Linked DNA regions of Oryctolagus cuniculus. The protein of the gene in region 1 interacts with the protein of each later gene in a pairwise test. Links are inferred from orthologs where the notes say so. Each region holds a gene or a part of one and is shown in the gene's direction. Other genes may lie near its edges.

Region 1 (2,326 bases):
GTCTTCTGGTTTAGGCCTGACATAACCCTTGCTGGCTTGAGCATTTGGGAAGTGAACCAACAGATGGAAGATATTTCTCCCCTGCCCCCCACCACCCCACCCCACCCCCGCTGTCTTCCTCTCATCTCTCTCTTCTCTCTGTTGCTCTTTGCTCTGCCTTTTGAATAAATAAATAAATGTTTTTAAAAATCAGTAAGAAAAGTACTCAGACCCCCATAGAAATGGATAAGGGCCCTGAATCATTACTAAATGTAAGAGAAAGCAAGTTGACTTCATTTATTGCCAAAGAATGATGAAATAAAGCAACAAATCTTTTTCACTCTGAGAACACTAGTTTTAAATTGTAATGATGCTGATGATGCTATGGTGAAGTGGCAATACACTGCTGACAGGAATATCAGTGATTGGGCTTCCCGGGGAGGCACTCTGTCTGTGGGGAGACTCTCCAGAATCCTTGTAGTTATACTTCTTGTTTGAGTGATTATAGTCCTAGGAATTTACACTGGAAAGTAATCAGCAGTGCAGTTAAATACCTAGATGTTCATAGCAACTGTATTTGTAATAGATTTCTAAAAGTCTAACTAGATTTTCCTAACTTTCCCAAGAAGAGGGAGGGTATTAAATGTCCAGTACTGGAGGAATTAATTATGGTTCAACCATTGGCTGGAGTACTATGCAGCCATGAAAATGCATACTTAGGAAAAAACATATAGTAGTAAATGAAAAATACAACATGAAATTATTTATGTGTTCACACATGAAAAGATTAGAAAAAAATCTCAGATGATAATTTTTCTTAGGATTGCTATTTTATTCTTTATACTTCCACAATCACTTTTTATACCGTGAATATATGTTATTTTGTAATCAGGTTTTTTTATGTAAATGCTTGTGAAAGCAGGTTGCAGCTGTAATTTCTTTTCCTTCCCTTGAAGCACTTCTTTGAAGGCGTCGAAGCCCGAGTAGCACAGGGCATAAGAGAGGAGGAAGTAAGCTACCAACTTGCGTTTAACAAGCAGGAGCTTCGCAAAGTCATCCGAGAGTACCCTGGGAAGGAGGTGAAGAAGGGCCTGGACAACCTGTACAAGAAAGTTGATAAGCACCTGTGTGAGGAAGAGAACTTACTGCAGGTACGCTGCCTTGTTCCCTTGCTCTCCTCCCCCCGCTCCCCAGCCTGGAGACCCTCTGTGGATTTTTTTTTTTTTTTTTTTTTTTTGACAGGCAGGGTGGACAGTGAGAGAGAGAGACAGAGAGAAAGGTCTTCCTTTGCCGTTGGTTCACCCTCCAATGGCCGCCGCGGCCGGCGCACCGCACTGATCCGAAGGCAGGAGCCAGGTGCTTCTCCTGGTCTCCCATGGGGTGCAGGGCCCAAGTACTTGGGCCATCCTCCACTGCACTCCCTGGCCACAGCAGAGAGCTAGACTGGAAGAGGGGCAACCGGGACAGAATCCGGCGCCCTGACCGGGACTAGAACCCGGTGTGCCGGTGCCGCAAGGCGGAGGATTAGCCTAGTGAGCCGCAGTGCCAGCCACTTTGTGGATTTTACTACATAAGCATCTGCACGTATTTCTGCTCCTTTTGTAATTCTGTTTTGTTGTGCTGAAGGACTACTTTTCTTCTATTTGGTGTTTTGTTTCCGATTTGGGAGGGGGAGGTAAATGCAGTCCAGTCTAGCCCCATGAAGGCTTGGAGTTCGGAGTTCCTGCGTTTGGCGCATTAGCCTCTCTGGGCCTCAGTATCTTCATCAGAACAGTGAAGGTGCTGTCTCCCTCGTGCAGTAGGCCCTGCTGTTGTGCATTTTGTAGACGAGAAGATCAGCATAGAGAGGTCAGAGTGATGTGCCCAAGATCCCATACCTAATGAGTGGTGCAGCCAGGTGTAAACCCCAAATTAAGCATTATTCTTTATAACCCATGCGGAAAGGCCCAGAGTTGAGTGGGAGTGATCCTAATTTCAACATCATGGGAGGCTTCGTGAAGGCTGTTGGTTTGTGTGAACCTCTGAAAGTCTGCTTGCCCAGGTAGAGTCGGGTGGAGTGTGTGGCTTTCTAAGTGGAAGAAACAGCACAGGCTAAATAATGAAAAGCAAAAAGCATAGCACTGTCAGGGGGCAGCGAGTATTCTGAAGTTGGCAGGAACTTAGGTTTAATGAGATGTAAGGTTTGTAAGAAGAAATTCTAGAATATATTCCGTCAGCTGCCAGGTAAGGATGATGTCATAGTGCCCTCCGCGTCATCATGAGACTTAGGAATGTGGACATGAAGCAGCTGGCCTTGCGCTGATGTCCGGGAGGCCCCGCTGAATATCATCTGCGGGTGCTAACCACT
Region 2 (3,551 bases), on another chromosome or scaffold:
TAAAGGTGGGTGGGCCTGTGGCTGGATGAGAGCAGGCCCAACCATGCCCCCAGTTCAGCCATGCAGGACATGGAACTCCATCTTCCATAGGCAGGGCAGGAGATGGGCGACTGGGGTCATATAGGCTGTGGGAGATGGGCACACTGACCCCCGACCTCCATTTCTAAGAGTTTGCAGGTAGTGATGTCCACAGCCGGTAAAATACTAGGTAAACATTTCAGATCCCCCAGCGTTTCATGAAACTTTCAGAAAGTTCCCGTGAATTTTGCAGGGCTAGTGGAGGACTGGTTCCACAGTCAGTTAGAAAGGAAGGAAGGACACATTCTACGTGTAGAGCTGGTAGGGAAGATGAACTCCCTGCCTCCCAGACAACGCCTGAGGCCCTAGCTAGCTGCTTTCCACTGAGCTGGGTCAGCGGTCCCTTTGTTGTCAACACTTCTTCCTCTGTTCCCCGGGCTTGAGGGCCAAAGGCTTCGTCCTGATTTGCACCTGAACACTTTGCTGTAGTTGCCTCTGCAGGTGCCTTCTGCCTCCCGCAGGTGCCTGCCGACCATCACAACTGTGCTTCAGCTTGGGGTTCTTTTGGAAATGACAGTTGTCTTGTCCTGTATTCTAGCCTGAAAACATCCTGGTGGATCAGAGTTTAGCCAAGCCAACAATTAAACTGGCTGACTTCGGAGATGCTGTCCAACTCAACACGACCTACTACATCCACCAGTTACTGGGGAACCCCGAGTTCGCAGCCCCCGAAATCATCCTTGGGAACCCTGTCTCCCTGACCTCGGACACATGGAGTGTTGGAGTGCTCACATACGTGCTTCTTAGCGGCGTGTCCCCCTTCCTGGATGACAGCGTGGAGGAGACCTGCCTGAACATTTGCCGATTGGACTTCAGTTTCCCAGATGACTACTTTACAGGAGTTAGCCAGAAGGCCAAGGAGTTCGTGTGCGTCCTCCTGCAGGAGGACCCTGCCAAGCGCCCCTCGGCTGCGCTGGCCCTGCAGGAGCAGTGGCTGCAGGCGGGCAGTGGCAAAGGCTCAGGCGTCCTCGACACATCGAGACTGGCATCCTTCATCGAGCGGCGCAAACACCAGAATGATGTTCGACCTATTCGGAGCATTAAAAACTTCTTACAGAGCAGGCTTCTGCCTCGAGTTTGACCTATCTTGAAGTTCTTTCTCATTCTCTTTCACCTGCCAATCAGCTGTTCATTTGAATTCCGAAGAGAAACAAAAGAAAACAAACCTAGGTGACCAGCTGCCGGTGTGTTGATCGTGTGAAGTTGCATTCCAAGTGAGCTGCCTGGGGTGGAGGACTTCAGTCACGCTCTGCGGAGGCAGAGGTCGCATTGCTGTATCACAGTATTTTATTCAGGTTTCTGCAAAAAAATAAAAAATAAAAATAACTTTTTTAAATGAACATGAATAGAATTTTGCAAATTTAACATTTTCAAGATTTATTCAAGAAAACACAATGCCTATGTTCAACCACTGGTATTAATGAACAAAACAAAGATACTGTACATCTCTGGGGAAGCAGCGCCCAGGTGGTGGCCCTTGGCCAGTGCCCAGTGGCCACCTGGCACTATGCCTTCCCAGCCGCCTTGTCTGCGTGCACCCCGCCACACGCCAGACCTGGCCTCCGAAACATGCATTCAACCTCAAACTTTTGCATAAAATAGAATGAATTGTTTTGCTCTGATGAAATGTAGGCCTTACTTGTATATAAGACTGTTCCTGCCTCCGGTCTGTCATTTCCCCCCCTACCTGCCCTTCCCACCTGCTCCCCAGCCCCGCCTGGGGCTTCTTCCTCAGAGTCTGAGGGTCTGCCCATCAAATGGAGACATCAGGTTGGGTCCTGCCCCACTGCCCCCTCCCCTGTTCCCACCCTAAGCCGTCAATCAGATTGTTGAGCAGTATACAGTCAGATGAAAATACTGTAAATGCACTCATTGGGGGTTTTTTTGTTGTTGTTTTATTTCATATCATGTGCAATGTTGTGGCTTTAACATTTTATGCAACTATTTATGGAGACCTCTGTTGTACCTGTAATAAATATATAGAAAAAGCACATACTTCGTATAGTGAGCTTTATGGTTTTGTGTGTGTGTGGGAGTGGGGGGTGGGGGGAAGGGTCACAGCCCTGTGCCATCGGTTCAAGGAGACTCAACTCCTCGTGAAAATTGTCAGTTTTGAAGATTGTAAAAAGTGATTTCATACTCTGAATATAAAACTGGATAATAGGGTAATGTTTTAAAGTTTATTATGCTATTATTCAGAATGCCAAAGTATTATTTTTTTGTCCCAAAATCAGTCTGGACATTTACTACTTTTTAGACTTTTTGACGTTCAACTTTCTGTACAAAAATTGGCTGGATTTTGAGCTTTTGGTAAGAAATAAAAGCCAATTAAGCACTGGCCCCTCTGAGGCTGGTACCCAATGCCCGAGTCACTGTGGCAGAATCAACGCTGGTGCAGGGAGTCCTTTCCACAAAAGAGGCTGCAATTCTGGGCACACTTGAGTTTTTTGGATGTCTTTTTATCTTTGCTGTGTGACGTACACTAAAAGGAGGCCAGCCTGCTCCCCAAGCCAGCCAGACACCTGGGTCTTTTGAGCCATAAACTGGCATCGTTAAGCTTCACAGCTTCCAATGTATTTTATTTATTCTTTTGTTGGGTTTTTGTTTGTTTCTTCTTGTAAAATTGTACAGAAACTTTTTAAAAGAAATTGGATTCAAAACTGGATGTGTATTCGTAACCTCATAACTTTTATTTGTGTATTGTTTCTTTTATTATTTCAGTTAAATTTTTGCATTATTTTGCATGTATATTTCTTTGTACAGAGACCTTACATGTTTACACAGTATGATGTGATGTAAATATTTTATTTTGCCATCAGTTATTTTAAAAAATTAAACATATTTGCCTGATTTTTGTGTTAGACCTTTTATTTACATTGATCACTATTGAATCAGAACAAGAGATCTGAAGGAGAGGCCTTTTGCGGTGGGAGGGTTCAGAATATTCTACATTTGGAATATGCCGTTGAGGACCAGAAATAGGAGTCAGCCAGGCTCCTGCAGACTGGTTTGCAGAAACAAAACTCAGGACACTGGTGTAATTACCAGAATGTCAGCTGACTGAGGGGCTACAGCACATCCTTGTTAGAATATCTGAGTGTCCCCTCCCCACTGATGAATGCAGAATCTAAGCACAAGGAAGACCTGTTACCTCCAGGCTTCAGAAAGCAAAGTTCATGTCCAGATCAAGACAAGAAAATGAAACAGTCGGGTTCAGGCAACATATAGTGAACAAACCAAAGATCCTGTACATATGGAAAACTCTTCCCCACCCAGCCCCCCTGTGGGTGGCTGTCTCTTAGCCCCTGGCACCAGAGTTCACTGGGTCCTGGGGGACTTGGAGTTCAGGTTTTCCTCTACAGGGCTCTCACCAGTGTGGCTTCTTAGCTCTGCTGGCCCCCTGCTGCTGACAGTTGCTTTTCCTCCTGACCAATAAATATTGTCTCTCTTGTTTTGATTCTGTGTGGCTTTCC
Region 3 (3,654 bases), on another chromosome or scaffold:
GAGTGATGCTCACCCGCGCCCAGCGGGCCCACAGAGGCGGGACGCCTGGGCACCTGGCACACATGGCCACCCACAGGTCAGGGAGGGGCCAAGGAGACTCAGAAGCGACCTGAGTAGTAGCCGGAAGAGGCCTGTGGGTTCTGTTAACTGTGAAAAGCTGGTGTAAGAGCAGTCTGGTATGACCCCATAAAAACCTGCACGTGGGTGCAGGGCCCCAAGGACTTGCTTCATCTTCCACTTCTTTCCCAGGCACATTAGCAGGGAGATGGATTGGAAGTGAAGCAACTGGGACTTGAACCGGTGCTCATACGGGATGCTGGTGTCACAGGCGGCTGCTTAACCCACTACACCATGACACCAGCCCCATCTCTCTCTCTCTTTTTTTTTTTAAAGAGGGATGTTCTTTTTCTCATTTTTTTTTTTTTATTTTCTTGAGAAGCAGAAAGTGAGAGAGAGTTTGCTTCCATATGCTGATTTGCTCCCCAGCTGCTGCTGGGCTGGCCAAAGCTAGAAGCCAGGAGCTCAATCCGGGTCTCCCATGTGGGTGGCTCGGGACCCAGTAGCCCGAGCCATCACTGCTGCTTCCTAAGGTCTGCCTAAGTGGGAAGCTGGAACCAGGAGCTGGATTCAGGAATCAAACCCAGGCTCACTGTGGGACGCAAGTGTCCTCACCCCAGGCTAAATACCCACTCCCTTAGCGCTCTTTTAAAATCCTTTTCTAGTTTTTGTACAGTATCCCTGAGTACTTTGTGCAACACAATGATCAGGGATAAAAGGGGTGGGGGCGGTGAGTGAGGCTTTCTGTGTCCTGCTCTCTCTGCGTCCTCTGCTGCAGATTTCTGTACGAGCGACACGAGCAGTCCAAGCAGGACCTCAAGGGTCTGGAGGAGACAGTTGTGAGTGGCTTCCTTCTGTGCCAAGCAATGGGGTGTGGGGGGCGGGGCTTCGTGACGTCCCCTCTGTTTCTCCCTGACCCCTCTCCCCGTCCAGTCTGTGGCGTAATCAGGACACCCCCCACCCCCTGCCCCTGGAAAGGGTGAGTGACTCCCTTGACTGTGTAGAGCCGAGGTTCCCGTAAGTCTGGAGGGAGGGGGTGGGTGTGGCACCTGGCCAGCCCCAGTGTTTCATGATCCCTTCCAGGCCCGTGAACTCCAGACCCTCCACAACCTTCGCAAGCTGTTCGTTCAAGACGTCACGACTCGAGTCAAGAAAGTGAGTGCCATCCTCGGCCGCGCGCGTGCGCACACACACACCCACCCCTCTCCACGTATCTGCAGCCCCTGCTCTCCCTGGTGGGGCTGGCTGCACCCGCTCTCTGGGGGACCTGCTTGGCCACATCTTTGTCTGTCTCTGATCAGAGTGCAGAAATGGAGCCCGAGGACAGTGGGGGGATTCACTCCCAAAAGCAGAAGATTTCCTTTCTTGAGAACAACCTGGAACAGCTTACAAAGGTTCACAAACAGGTAAGAGTCCGGAGGTGGGGCCAAGACAGTCTTTGAGGCCAGACACCTAGGACACCCAGATCCTTGGAGACCCTGGGTCCAGAAACACCTGGTTGCTTGTTTTCCTGTTCTCTTTTACTTGCCCTACTGATGCGGATGCCGTCTTTGGGCCTTGGCCTTGGCCTTTGCTGCCTGCCTGCTTTCCCTTCTCCGAGTCCCTGACCCAGCCCTGCTCCAAGTGGAGTTCCTCAGACTTGCCTTGGAGAGAGAGGTTGAGGCTGGCAGAGGTCGGAAAGGCTTGGGGGGTGGGGGTGTCTCTGTCACCACACCAGAGGGAAGGCAGGGAGAAAGAGGAAGGGTGAGAACTCCAGCTGCCTAGGCCTGGGCTGGCCTGCAAGGACATTAAGCAGTGTCCTGGAGACGGCCCGGGCAGCGCCTGGCTGGGGCAGGTGAGAGCCTCTGTGTGTTTGGTCGCTGCCTCTCTGCGCCCCTCCTTGCTGCTGTGGCTCTAAGGTGCATGACTGGTGCTCACAGGGGCGGGGTGGGGAGGCAGAGGGCAGTCCAAAGGAGTGAGGACAGGAAGTATTTGGTGTGTACAGAGCAGGTGCACCCTCGCTGCTGCCACGCAGCTGGGCCTTGAAGGCAGGCGCAACAGCCTGGCGAGTGGCTCTTCTAATGAATTCATAAAAGAAGCTCGAGCACGCACTTCAGTTCCGTCCTTGCAAATCCACCTGACAGTTCCATCAGACTCATATTCTCACTAGCCGGGAACTTCAACTTCTCTTCCTCCCAATGTAATGTCTAGCCTATATGGTATGGACTATATATATATATATATATATATATATATATGATTTATTTTATTTATGTGAAAGAGTTACAGAGAGAAGTAGAGACAGAGAGAGAGAAAGAGGTCTTCCATCTGCTGGTTCACTCCCCAAATAGCCACAATGGCTGGAGCTGAGCCAATCTGAATCCAGAAGCCAAGAGCTTCTTCCTGGTCTCCGATGTAGGTGCAGGGGCCCAAGGACTTGGGCCATCCTCCACTGCTTTCCCAGGTACATTAGCAGGGAGCTAGATCAGAAGTGGGGCAGCTGGGACTCAAACCGGCACCCATATGGGATGCTGGTGCTGTAGGCCGGGGCTTTAACCCACTGCGCCACAGCATTGGCCCCCAACAGTAAATATTTAATACATTAAAAATTTTTTTTGTTTGTTTATTTAGAGAGAGGCAGAGGCAGTTAGAGAGAACTCCCATCTGCTTGTTTACTCCCCCAATGCCTTGCAGTGGCTGAGGCTGGGCCAAACCAAAGCCAGTAGCCAGAAATTCAATCTGGGTCTGGCACAGGTTGGGGGATCCAGTTACTCGAGTCAGCGCCCTTGCCTTCCAGAGCCTGCATTAGCAGGAAGCTGGAGTCGAGAGTCAGAAGCCAGGGCTGGGTATGGAACCCAGGCGCTCCCACGTGGGATGAGGGCATCTTAACTGCTAGACTAAACACCACTGCTACTTTTTTCAAAAAATGAAAATATCCCAAACCTGTGTCCCAGGGATGACCTGCAGGCTCTATTTTGATTTGTGTCTGCAGAAGTCTTTACAGCTATTTTTATTTCCTTGACTTATAAAACAGTGCAACAACATTTTTACGGAAACGTTGAAAAAATAGCCAGGAAATGGTTTGTAATCAGTTCTGCCATTCTGTTCTCCCCACTGTGTGTTCACCATCCCTCTCTGTGCAAATGCCGATTGTCAGAGGAGAGGTGCACAGAAAGGCTCCCAGCTCCGCCCCTTTACTGCTCTGCTGGCTTCCCCTGTGTCTGCCAAGGCCCAGCACCTCCTGCAGTCTTGGTGCTCCCAGTCCTTGTGGGGAGCCCTGTGAAAGAGCAAGAAATCTTTGCTCGCTGCAAAGGTAGCAGCTGCTCCCTCGCTCTGGCTTCATTCAGATGGGGGTAGGACAGCCCAGGAAGTCTTGGAATGAGAAGGTAGTGAGCAGAAATGTGAGAACGACTCTGTGTGTGTGTGTATGTGTGTGTGTGTGTGTGTGTGTGTGTGTGTGTGTGTGTGTGGCAGGGGAGTGGGGTGGAGGAGGGGTCTGAATTCCGGCTTCTGCTCCTGCTCTGCACCTGACCGGCACCCATTCGTAGTGCCATCACCACCTCCACGCTGCGACTCCTTGCACTGCCCCATGCGTGCTCACAAAGCCATCCCCGGGGC

The links.
Region 2: the proteins of EXOC1 (region 1) and TRIO interact in a two-hybrid assay, tested with the Homo sapiens proteins (2 studies listed by BioGRID and IntAct). The link is inferred for Oryctolagus cuniculus from reciprocal best matches to the Homo sapiens genes EXOC1 and TRIO.
Region 3: the proteins of EXOC1 (region 1) and KIF5A interact in a two-hybrid assay, tested with the Homo sapiens proteins (2 studies listed by BioGRID and IntAct). The link is inferred for Oryctolagus cuniculus from reciprocal best matches to the Homo sapiens genes EXOC1 and KIF5A.

The regions. Positions count from the first base shown.
Region 1 is NC_091439.1:108,582,994-108,585,319, reverse strand, and holds part of EXOC1 (exocyst complex component 1), read left to right. Parts: intron 1-935; coding exon 936-1,130; intron 1,131-2,326.
Region 2 is NC_091445.1:43,638,227-43,641,777, forward strand, and holds the end of TRIO (triple functional domain protein), read left to right. Parts: coding exon 1-5; intron 6-616; coding exon 617-1,159; 3' UTR 1,160-2,928; downstream 2,929-3,551. UniProt on the Homo sapiens protein: Guanine nucleotide exchange factor (GEF) for RHOA and RAC1 GTPases. Involved in coordinating actin remodeling, which is necessary for cell migration and growth. Plays a key role in the regulation of neurite outgrowth and lamellipodia formation.
Region 3 is NC_091442.1:60,183,381-60,187,034, forward strand, and holds part of KIF5A (kinesin heavy chain), read left to right. Parts: intron 1-835; coding exon 836-896; intron 897-1,140; coding exon 1,141-1,212; intron 1,213-1,358; coding exon 1,359-1,463; intron 1,464-3,654. UniProt on the Homo sapiens protein: Microtubule-dependent motor required for slow axonal transport of neurofilament proteins (NFH, NFM and NFL). Can induce formation of neurite-like membrane protrusions in non-neuronal cells in a ZFYVE27-dependent manner.